Arabidopsis thaliana: one gene and its partner. The protein of the gene in region 1 interacts with the protein of each later gene in a pairwise test. Each region holds a gene or a part of one and is shown on either strand. Other genes may lie near its edges.

The links.
Region 2: the proteins of PYL5 (region 1) and HAI1 interact in a two-hybrid assay, tested with the Arabidopsis thaliana proteins (one study listed by BioGRID).

The regions. Positions count from the first base shown.
Region 1 is NC_003076.8:1,606,612-1,612,147, forward strand, and holds PYL5 (Polyketide cyclase/dehydrase and lipid transport superfamily protein), read left to right. Parts: upstream 1-2,376; 5' UTR 2,377-2,762; coding exon 2,763-3,374; 3' UTR 3,375-3,916; downstream 3,917-5,536. Other genes in the region: AT5G05450 (P-loop containing nucleoside triphosphate hydrolases superfamily protein), read left to right, coding at 5,466-5,536. UniProt on the Arabidopsis thaliana protein: Receptor for abscisic acid (ABA) required for ABA-mediated responses such as stomatal closure and germination inhibition.
Region 2 is NC_003076.8:23,893,034-23,899,730, reverse strand, and holds HAI1 (PP2C protein (Clade A protein phosphatases type 2C)), read left to right. Parts: upstream 1-2,791; 5' UTR 2,792-3,233; coding exon 3,234-3,710; intron 3,711-3,793; coding exon 3,794-4,096; intron 4,097-4,465; coding exon 4,466-4,571; coding exon of another isoform or gene 4,572-4,594; exon of another isoform or gene 4,595-4,703; coding exon 4,704-5,059; 3' UTR 5,060-5,327; downstream 5,328-6,697. Other genes in the region: AT5G59210 (myosin heavy chain-like protein), read left to right, coding at 6,112-6,147, 6,245-6,332, 6,420-6,466. UniProt on the Arabidopsis thaliana protein: Acts as a negative regulator of abscisic acid (ABA) signaling for stomatal closure in leaves, and controls water loss during leaf senescence. Activated by the NAC029/NAP transcription factor during ABA signaling in senescing leaves.

The sequences.
Region 1 (5,536 bases):
ATCTTTTCACTGGGACTTTGAGGATCATTGGACTTACCTGAAACGAGCTGGCCGACGTTGATTTCGGTAGGCTTATCGGCTCTGAGATTCATGGATTCCATACTTTGCAAGGTTTGTTCTTCTAATCTTATCGTTCGTCTTGATTCATAGAACTGTTTTTGTTTGTTCTTAAATTCGATTGTCTCTCGGTTTTCATTGTCCTATTGTTTTTCTTTTATTTTGTCTGTCTGGGTTTTGGACTTTTACTCTCGATTGCTCTTTGATTCTCGTAGCTATTGAACTAGAATTTGCAAAAGGTTGTGGAATTTGAGGTTCTAATTGTGATTTTAATGTGGTGATTTGGAAAAGAATTTAGGGACATTTTAGGTTGATTAAGGGATCTTGGCTTTGATTTGAGATACCCATCTAACGTGAAGAAGCTAGTGAAGTATATTTCAACCCCACCTGTGGTAAAGTCTAATCTTTGTGTTTCGATAGTTTCCTTTACGGTGTTTTGTATCTGACTAATATCACTTTTGATGGCTAATAGAGAGAGCTTCAGGGGATAATCCATTTGGGTGGGTATTTTTCTGGCTGTACCACTTGCAGTTTCTCAAAAGTGAGTGAAGGAACTCATTTTGGTTGATTATACTCTGAGTGAAGGAACTCATTTTCGTTGGTTCTGCTCTTCTAAGTGAAGAGGGCTTACAAGCTTGGAAAGGTGATGGCCATGTGTTTAGATTGTTGGTGCATCTATGTACTTTCCATAGATCTTCCTTTGCAATCATTTAGTGGTGAACCTGATATGTTGTTATTTCCTGCAGCAAGTTTCCAACAGAGTAATATCATGTCTGACCGGAACCATACAACGGAACATTCCACATATCGTTTTACATTTCTATTGACCTTGACCTTTATGTTTTAATTTGTCAAGAAGTCTACTGCATTTCTATTCTCTCCTATCTCATTCCTCTTTATTTACTTGCTTTCACATGGTAAGGAATTGTGAATATATGGTCTCAGCCTCTCATGTTAGACATTTCTTCTATGATTCTCATTTTTTCTATTGTGAATAATTTTTTTTCCAGACAACTCTTTTAAAAGAGACTTACCATTGGACTATGAAAAATCTTTCAAAAAAATCAGAAGCTCTCATCTTACAAATTCAAAAGATTTATACTTAAAAAATGGTGAGATCCCATTAGGAGGCTCTCACCATTGGAGATGGTCTTATGAGTTCCGTGAAGCTCTCTCGTTATTCTTACAGGGCATGATTTCGTATAATATTTTTAAAAAAACAAACGATTGGGCCTTGAATTTTTAATTAGAAAGTTAAACAAAATCTAAAAACCCACATGTGGTCTCTTGTTTTTTTTGGTGTGATGGTCGAATATTTCTAAAAACCCACAAGATTTATTAACTAGTCTTACAAATTACGATTACATTTTTTTTTTACGTTTTATCTCATTGACAGGGTATAATTTATACCGTATAAATATTATTTTCTTGTAGATCAGTCTTTTCAAAAAATGTAGTGGGATTACTGAATGCATTCCTCTATAATTAATTACGACAATTATCATAGTTGGTTTAGAAAAAAATAGTAAAATTGCACGTTTGCATGCCTATACAATTCGAGTGTACATGAAACTTGATGTAGAGTACCATACCCATGTCGCAAAATATTATTATTTATTGAAAAAATTACAAAGTCGCGATGCAACAACCTTTGTACTATATGATGAGAATATAATATAAAAATGGGCAACAAGAACAAAAGAAAATAGAGAAAAAAAGGAAAGGATAATCTTCCACCTAAACAAGTCCAAAGAAGATTGCAAGTTGCAACATCCACTTGCTTCGTCCGGCGTAAGCTCTTTGATAAGGTCTCTCACCGTCCTCCGACTTTCTCTCTCCATACATACACCACATTTACATACGCCATTTACACATATATGACAAACCCATCAACATCTGTGCATGCACGTGTGCTCATGCATGTATGTAGTTTTTACTTCGCCATGATGACCATGTCTATCTTAAAATTTACCACAATCAATCAATCATGCGCGTTACAGTCGTGTGATATTCAAAAATTGTACATGTTATTTCTCATAACTATCACTTTAGTAGATTAAGATCAGAATGTGCATATAATAAGTAAATTTTAACAATAACAGCAACATATTTTACTATAACTAATGATTTATTTAAAAAAAAAAGATAAAACTAATTCTGAAATTTCAGTTTTTTCTATGAACAATTTATTAACAGTATTCATATGTAGATAAACCTTGTAGATTCTATAATATAAAATTTATCAAGATGGAAATGAGGGATCTATAGAATACAATTAATTTTGGTGATATATATTCAAGATAATGAAGGAGGCGTCTGAGGAAAGAAATCATGGGGGCATAAGATGGTACAATGTATCATACATGGTCACACACATCTATATGATACAAATGCGTCTATATACACAACTGTTTCTATATACATACAAACACAAAGCCTTCACATCCCCAGCTATCTCTATCCATCTATCTTCAAATATATATTTTTAAAAACACACAATGTTCATATCTTATTGTTATTGTTATAAAATAAAAGATGATCATACTTTTTAAATTTCTCAAACAAAACCAACTTGACAACCGACAGCGAACAAGATCAAAAAGCTAGCTCTCTTCTTTTCTCATCAAACTTATTTCTCTCTCGATCGCAATATATACGATTCCATAAATTCTCCCAAAAACAAATTAAGAGATAGAGGAGAGATCATGAGGTCACCGGTGCAACTCCAACACGGCTCAGACGCCACTAACGGTTTCCACACGCTGCAGCCTCACGATCAGACCGATGGTCCGATCAAGAGAGTGTGTCTCACGCGCGGTATGCATGTCCCTGAACACGTTGCGATGCACCACACACACGACGTTGGTCCGGACCAGTGTTGCTCCTCGGTGGTGCAGATGATCCACGCGCCGCCTGAGTCCGTGTGGGCTCTTGTGCGGCGTTTCGATAATCCGAAGGTTTACAAGAACTTCATCAGACAGTGCCGTATCGTCCAAGGCGATGGACTACACGTCGGCGATCTCCGGGAGGTCATGGTGGTCTCTGGACTCCCGGCGGTCTCGAGCACCGAGAGGCTCGAGATCTTGGACGAGGAGCGTCACGTGATAAGCTTTAGTGTCGTTGGTGGGGACCACAGGCTCAAGAACTACCGATCGGTGACGACACTACACGCGTCGGACGACGAAGGTACCGTGGTGGTGGAGTCTTACATCGTTGATGTGCCGCCGGGAAACACGGAGGAGGAAACTCTAAGCTTCGTTGATACTATCGTCCGGTGCAACCTTCAGTCTCTGGCTCGAAGTACCAACCGGCAATAATCTCATCTTTCTTATATAAATTGCAATTATGTATCTAATTTTTTTTGTTGTTCTATTTCTTTTAGATGTTCGATCTTCTTTACAAGGAAGAAAATTTCGAGTACCTTTTCTTTCTTTTTAAATAGATATATCGGCTTAGAAAGAATTGTAATTTAATGGGGATTTCTTTGGGAGATTTATGTTGGAAATTTCGAAGTACTGTTGGGGGATTCACAAAACTTTGGATTTGGAGGGTGTTAGTACTGGTACATAAAACATTTTAAGGTGAATCTGTTAAATGAATTAATCCATTTGTTGTTTTGTACATGGTATCATTCTTTGTGACATTGTTTAATTTCTTGTACTCTTTTAAATGTTACTCTTAACCGTTTTTTTCTTTTGTGGTTTGTAAATGAATATTTGATGCATCGGTATTGTTAATGATAGACTTATTAATTTATTTCTTCATAGTATGTAACATTACTATAAGTTTGTTTTTTGTTGGTTGATCCTTGTGTCCAAATGTTCTAAATAGAAAATATAATACAAAGCCGATATTCTGATCTAAGAATCAATTAGAATGAAGCCAATAACTGTTCCACTGTCTATAATATTACCAGAGAGATAAAAGTTCAGAAATAAAAAAACTCCAATTCGTTTAACTTTAAGATTTATCGTCATCATGGATCATATTAAGGGAACATCAAATTACCTTTAAGTATTGAGTATATATATTCGAATTATCTGTCTATTACACATAATATTCTCGGGACGTAACAATTTATTAGAAGGTACTATATGTAGATGGAACTGCGTGTTAACTAAGAGGGAAATTATAAACCAGGTTATGGAATTTAAACCTGATTAGCATGTGCATTTACATAAAACATATATATTAGACCTAAAGCAAAAGTAGACGTGCTTAAACTATTACCAACTAGTCTTTCATTGGCTACTAGTCTGGTCAAGTGGAGATTATCATTTTTTATTCCCGTTTGTTTTGTTAATAAATTATAACCAACCAACCTAGTGGGTTATATTTAATTCAAATATAAGTTTTTGGTCTACTGTTTTTTTTTTTTTTTTTTTTGTTCTGGTGGGTTTATTATAATTCGTTCGATTCAAAATTTGTATTTAAGAAAGTCTAAAAGGACATGCAATTAAAATTTAGCTGGAAACGCGTTGCAACTTGCTAGTTTTTTCTGCCCCTAGTGGGATATGATACAACGAACCCTTATGCCGGTCTTAAAGAGTTAATATTTCTTTTTATCCAATTTCCTTTTAATAATAATACAAACAAGGACAATAACAAATTATCAAAATCTTGTCAAAAGAGTATTATATATCATCAAGCACACTACTATATTATTGATTAAATGTTGATTAGTGTTATTAAAATTATCTTACTATATAATATTGGATGTAAAGAAAAACAAATGTATAACCAATATCAAAACTCAAAAGATAACAATTTTTATTTTTTTTTGGTACGAATCAAAAGATAAGTATTAAATATCATAGTATTTATTGCTACAAAATTCTTTATATTTATAATCTATTGTATCACTTTATTTTGTGTTTGGTAAAACATCCTCTTTTTCTTTCTTTTCGAACAAATAAATTGAGATAAACATATTTGTACTATTCTATCACTATCATCGTGTCACCACCATATTCAAATCCATATATACACAAATGATTAAAATTTTAAAAGTAATTTTTGTTTATAATACACAAAAATGAAGATACGTAAACTATCGTACCACATCTTACAAAATTATTCGTGACATTTTATCCTTTGTTGTCCCAAATTAGTGCTGAGATACTTCAAATGTCTGATTAAGAACGGTAATAATATTTATAAGTGGCGAGGCCCAAGAATTAGCTCAAAACAAATGGGCCGAAATTATACATTTCTTTCATATTAGTAAAGCTTTTCTGGGAGAAATCCGGGCATCAATTGGTTACCGGTTCAGTATTTAAGCCTGGGTTGTGAATTCCAACATAATACCGAACCGAATTGATCAAAACGCTGCGTTTTGTTTTCAGTCATTGCAAGGTTACTGCAAGGTTAAAGCGGGAAGTGAGCAACGAGAGGCAGCGGCGGCCGTCATGGATTCATCGGCGAACATAAACAAAGCTCTAACGGAGACGCGTTTCTCCGACCTCGAACCTCCACTCTC
Region 2 (6,697 bases), about 22 Mb from region 1:
ACATAGTAAAAGTTCAAAGACTACGCAATCTGCCGGCCATGCAGGCTCGAGGAAAAATCTGCCCCGGGAGAACACGTGTCGGAATCAAATTTGCCACGTAATTATTGAAACTTCTCCTTTGGTAACTGCGACCTCAACGACCATTAACCGCAACGTGGGGCTTGTGTCCGACACGCGTCTCCTTAGGCCTCAAAACTAGACTTTAGAGTTAAACCTTATTTATGTCTTGTGGACAATGGTGACACCTCATTGGTTCCTCGTAATTGCCGAACTTTCTTTCAAACAACTTACGTTTAGATTGGAACATTAAGCTTTTACAGACTAGTGGTTAGGAATAGGAAAAATATTTGTGTTTTGAGTTTAAAGTTTGTGTTTTTCAAACTAGATGTTGAGTTTGGCGCATGGTTTTGAAATAAATTTAAACAGGAGAATCCATTAAACACATAACTCAACATCGAGTTTGAAAAATGTATGAGATCGGGCATTGTTCATTATCAAGAAAAGCATTTTGTATTAATGTATATAACTAATCATGTGTGATGTGGAAATTCCAACGACAAATTGGTAAGATTTCAATTCAAAGTTACAAAACAAAGACGAGATAATTAATCAAACTAGCTAGGACAATATATTGTCTCCTTACCGAAAGCTCTCCAACCACCTACTAAAGTAACTAACCATGTTTCAGTTATAATTTTATTTTTTCGTATTCCTATCAAGTATCAAATGATATAGTTAACCAACATTTATATATATATATTGAAATCACTAAACAAACAACAAAAGTAACATAGATTTTAATGGAACTAATTTTCACCTTATATTTTTACATAAGATTTGAAAGTGATGGTTAGTGACTTGTTGGTCGATGACGAATTTGTTTTCAGGTTAAATTTTAATAATAATAATATTTGAAAGAAAGATGAAGCTTTCACGTGGCACAATGTATTTGCCTACTGTCAACTTCAAAAACCTGGCAACTGCTATGCAGCTTCAGAGGACACGTGTCATGTGTTACACACGCGCTTCGTTTTTTTTCAACCTTTTGATTTTGTTTTGTTCTGTGATGTGGGACTCACATAATTCAAATCATCATCCTATTGCTTGCCGCCACGTCCCAGAGAATTTTCCGCGAAAAGCTGAGCTTCTCTCTTTCTTTCCTTAATTTTAGTTAGGTTATGAATTATTTTTGTATTAATACTAACTAACTAAAATATCATCATCACATTACATAAACATAAGATTCATCGGCGTAACGTAAGTAACAGTTAAAGCCCAAATTACAACTCTCGATCCTACTTAATGCATAGTAAACGAATGTTGACACAGAAAAAATCTTGGTCAAGACATAAAAGTAGAGAATGTAAACACGTGTCGAACATCGAGGAAGAAAACAGGTCAGAGAGGGGTCAACGTTGTTAAATGTTAGTAATAGAGAAGTGGTCCCCAGTTTCCACCAAAACCCATCTACGTACTTGTATCTCATTGGATGTCATTCCTGATTGATTTAGAATTGAAAACGTTATATTTTGTTTATTTCTAATTGTTGATTGAATATCTTATAATTTTTGCCCACAAAAGAAAATTATAAGTGTATAATATATAGTTCACTCGAATTTAACATGTCCATTGTCCAATGTAGAACGTATGATCATTTCTGTTTTTCAGTTGCTTTTATTTTAAATTCCCAAAAACCCAATATTGTGTCAAACATTGGAGAATGATGTTCACTTTTATTGTATTCACAAAATGCTACTTATCAACTAAGAAAATTGTAATGTCAAACATAAGATGGTGATATTTTAAAAATAGATGTAAAATTAGTTTAGAACTGTCTGATAAGTCATAAGATTGCACGATTATAAATCATTGAATATTCCGGACACTTGTCAAGATTAAAACCATGAATAAGTTTTCAAATTCATTTTCATCATCTCAATTGTAAAACTAGGTAAGATATCCTTTAAAATCTTTGAATATTAGTTCCCCGGCCCATATAAAATCTCTTAAATATATTTATTTGAAAACTCTGACTGTTTGCACTTGCAGCATAAAAAAAGGGATGAAACAAATGGAACAAATGCAGAACAAAACTAATAGACCAGACAAGTAAAACAAACGAAACAAAACAAGTGTTGAAATGATAACTCACAAATTTGAACTTACTTTTCTAGCAAATAAGAAATTGTTCTAATTAAAAAAAAAAGCATATGCAGTCTCAAATTGTTTCTAAGAAGTATTCACGCACCAAGGTTATATTTGTAGTGACATATTCTACAATTATCACATTTTTCTCTTATGTTTCGTAGTCGCAGATGGTCAATTTTTTCTATAATAATTTGTCCTTGAACACACCAAACTTTAGAAACGATGATATATACCGTATTGTCACGCTCACAATGAAACAAACGCGATGAATCGTCATCACCAGCTAAAAGCCTAAAACACCATCTTAGTTTTCACTCAGATAAAAAGATTATTTGTTTCCAACCTTTCTATTGAATTGATTAGCAGTGATGACGTAATTAGTGATAGTTTATAGTAAAACAAATGGAAGTGGTAATAAATTTACACAACAAAATATGGTAAGAATCTATAAAATAAGAGGTTAAGAGATCTCATGTTATATTAAATGATTGAAAGAAAAACAAACTATTGGTTGATTTCCATATGTAATAGTAAGTTGTGATGAAAGTGATGACGTAATTAGTTGTATTTATAGTAAAACAAATTAAAATGGTAAGGTAAATTTCCACAACAAAACTTGGTAAAAATCTTAAAAAAAAAAAAAGAGGTTTAGAGATCGCATGCGTGTCATCAAAGGTTCTTTTTCACTTTAGGTCTGAGTAGTGTTAGACTTTGATTGGTGCACGTAAGTGTTTCGTATCGCGATTTAGGAGAAGTACGTTTTACACGTGGACACAATCAACGGTCAAGATTTCGTCGTCCAGATAGAGGAGCGATACGTCACGCCATTCAACAATCTCCTCTTCTTCATTCCTTCATTTTGATTTTGAGTTTTGATCTGCCCGTTCAAAAGTCTCGGTCATCTGCCCGTAAATATAAAGATGATTATATTTATTTATATCTTCTGGTGAAAGAAGCTAATATAAAGCTTCCATGGCTAATCTTGTTTAAGCTTCTCTTCTTCTTCTCTCTCCTGTGTCTCGTTCACTAGTTTTTTTTCGGGGGAGAGTGATGGAGTGTGTTTGTTGAATAGTTTTGACGATCACATGGCTGAGATTTGTTACGAGAACGAGACTATGATGATTGAAACGACGGCGACGGTGGTGAAGAAGGCAACGACGACAACGAGGAGACGAGAACGGAGCTCGTCTCAAGCAGCGAGAAGAAGGAGAATGGAGATCCGGAGGTTTAAGTTTGTTTCCGGCGAACAAGAACCTGTCTTCGTCGACGGTGACTTACAGAGGCGGAGGAGAAGAGAATCCACCGTCGCAGCCTCCACCTCCACCGTGTTTTACGAAACGGCGAAGGAAGTTGTCGTCCTATGCGAGTCTCTTAGTTCAACGGTTGTGGCATTGCCTGATCCTGAAGCTTATCCTAAATACGGCGTCGCTTCAGTCTGTGGAAGAAGACGTGAAATGGAAGACGCCGTCGCTGTGCATCCGTTTTTTTCCCGTCATCAGACGGAATATTCATCCACCGGATTTCACTATTGCGGCGTTTACGATGGCCATGGCTGTTCCCATGTACGACGTCGTTTTATTATAAAAATTATCCTTTAATTGACCGTTACGACGTCGGTTTTTAATTTTAATAATATGATGTTTAGGTAGCGATGAAATGTAGAGAAAGACTACACGAGCTAGTCCGTGAAGAGTTTGAAGCTGATGCTGACTGGGAAAAGTCAATGGCGCGTAGCTTCACGCGCATGGACATGGAGGTTGTTGCGTTGAACGCCGATGGTGCGGCAAAATGCCGGTGCGAGCTTCAGAGGCCGGACTGCGACGCGGTGGGATCCACTGCGGTTGTGTCTGTCCTTACGCCGGAGAAAATCATCGTGGCGAATTGCGGTGACTCACGTGCCGTTCTCTGTCGTAACGGCAAAGCCATTGCTTTATCCTCCGATCATAAGGTTTTGTTCGTTTTTTGATAATCTCTCTTGTTTCGTTTATCCATCGTTAAATGTTTATCCGTTAGATCTACGGTTATGGTTTACTCACTGTAATGAAACGAGAATTTCGTTACGTGTTGCGTTCGAAACTTACCTATTAATATTGTTTAATGCATTTTTTATTTATTATTTCATTTATTGGAAATTAGAATCTTCTTTAATGTGCATGCAACACCTGGACGACGATTAAGAATGTTTAATGACTTTTTACTTTTTAGATAGAGGATCTGATAAAGTTTATGAGTTTTAAGATTCTTTAATCCTTCGTGTCACTGTTATCAATGACTATATCATTCTCTCTCTCTCTCTTGTTTAAATTTGTTGTAACAGCCAGACCGTCCGGACGAGCTAGACCGGATTCAAGCAGCGGGTGGTCGTGTTATCTACTGGGATGGCCCACGTGTCCTTGGAGTACTTGCAATGTCACGAGCCATTGGTCAGTTAATTGATTACACTTGACGAAAACACTCTTGTCCCTATCCTAATGTTTGTACAAAGTTTTTCCGTACTTTCAATAATGATGATTATTAACTCTCGTTTCGCCGCGGATTTTTTTTTTTTTTTTCAGGAGATAATTACTTGAAGCCGTATGTAATCAGCAGACCGGAGGTAACCGTGACGGACCGGGCCAACGGAGACGATTTTCTTATTCTCGCAAGTGACGGTCTTTGGGACGTTGTTTCAAACGAAACTGCATGTAGCGTCGTTCGAATGTGTTTGAGAGGAAAAGTCAATGGTCAAGTATCATCATCACCGGAAAGGGAAATGACAGGTGTCGGCGCCGGGAATGTGGTGGTTGGAGGAGGAGATTTGCCAGATAAAGCGTGTGAGGAGGCGTCGCTGTTGCTGACGAGGCTTGCGTTGGCTAGACAAAGTTCGGACAACGTAAGTGTTGTGGTGGTTGATCTACGACGAGACACGTAGTTGTATTTGTCTCTCTCGTAATGTTTGTTGTTTTTTGTCCTGAGTCATCGACTTTTGGGCTTTTTCTTTTAACCTTTTTTGCTCTTCGGTGTAAGACAACGAAGGGTTTTTAATTTAGCTTGACTATGGGTTATGTCAGTCACTGTGTTGAATCGCGGTTTAGATCTACAAAGATTTTCACCAGTAGTGAAAATGGTAAAAAGCCGTGAAATGTGAAAGACTTGAGTTCAATTTAATTTTAAATTTAATAGAATCAGTTGATCATAACAAAATCTTACCTTTTTAAATTTATTTTTTGTTATATATAGGACGATGTTTATAGGAATATTAGAAATGTTAGACTGATATCTTTAAGAATAGGAAAAGAACCAAATATTTACTAAGGAATTTGTTTTCAAGTGTATTTTGTAACTAAACAAGGCAAACAATCGGTATAGAATACTTCAAAGGTTAATTGGGAGGATTCAATATTATAACATTTTTTTCTTATTATGTAAAACGTTTTTTTTTTTTTTTTGCCAACATAATCTATAAAACATGTTTATATAACTCTTCATCAAACGGGTATGGTTCACACTTTATCATGTGACATATTAGAAGATGTCGATCATTAAGACTGAACATTGTTTAAAGTACTTAGAAATCAAAATGATGATTCAAGCTTTGATAACTTCCAACCGTTTCCAACCGCCAAACTTTGGTAACTTTTTTAGAATCGAACTCCTAGCTATCGCCTAACGATTTTTTTGAACATTCTCGTTTTTTTTTCTTTTAAATGTCTTTGCAATTGCATAAACTGGTTTTTTTTTTTTTTTTTTTTTTTTGTCGGAAACTGGTTTTCTTTTATCATCCTGTTTTCAACTTTTATTCAATTTTTTTTTTCTTTTTGAAATTGAAAAACTGGGCTCGCTTTCAAGGTCAGAGAGTTATATATGTCCATGGGCCTATTTAACACTCCTATAAGCCCAAATATAGATATATTCCATTTTTGTCGCCGGCGATTTCCTCACCGTTAAATCGACGTTCGAAATTCCGAGGAGAGGAATCATACCATGGAATCGCACCACGCGTCTCTAGGTCGCCGTACTGTAAGGATATTTCCGATATGGCCGTCTTTATCTTCATCTGAAGACAGTTTCTTACATCGGTGCTTTTTTGTTGTTATTAATTTCTGTGATCTTGTAGTTGGAAGAGATTCGTCAAAAGAGAGCAGCTCAAAGGCTAAGCAAAGCTTCTTCAGGTCCAGATCTTAGTGAAATTCCCAATCCTGCCGGTAATTTTATTCATCTCCAATTTCAATGTTTTGCCATCTCCTTTTCCACTAGCTTTGCAATTTTGATTGACTACTTCATTATTTCAGATTTCCCAGTGATCAGAAAATCTGAGAGCGGAAATCGACTTTCTGAGGTAGCATTTCTCTGCTTATCAAAAATTGTACCTGGTGATCTAATTGGATTCTTTAGAATTGCGACGGTCTTGATAATGAGAATGCCTTAATCGAATCATGTCTTCTAGGATTTATGGACAAATTTGATTTTGCATATTGTCCTGAGGATAGGCTCATTCAACTTTTCTTGAGTAAATGAATGAACATAAATGGGAGTTTTGTATTGGTTTTACTGATATTATGATCTTCCT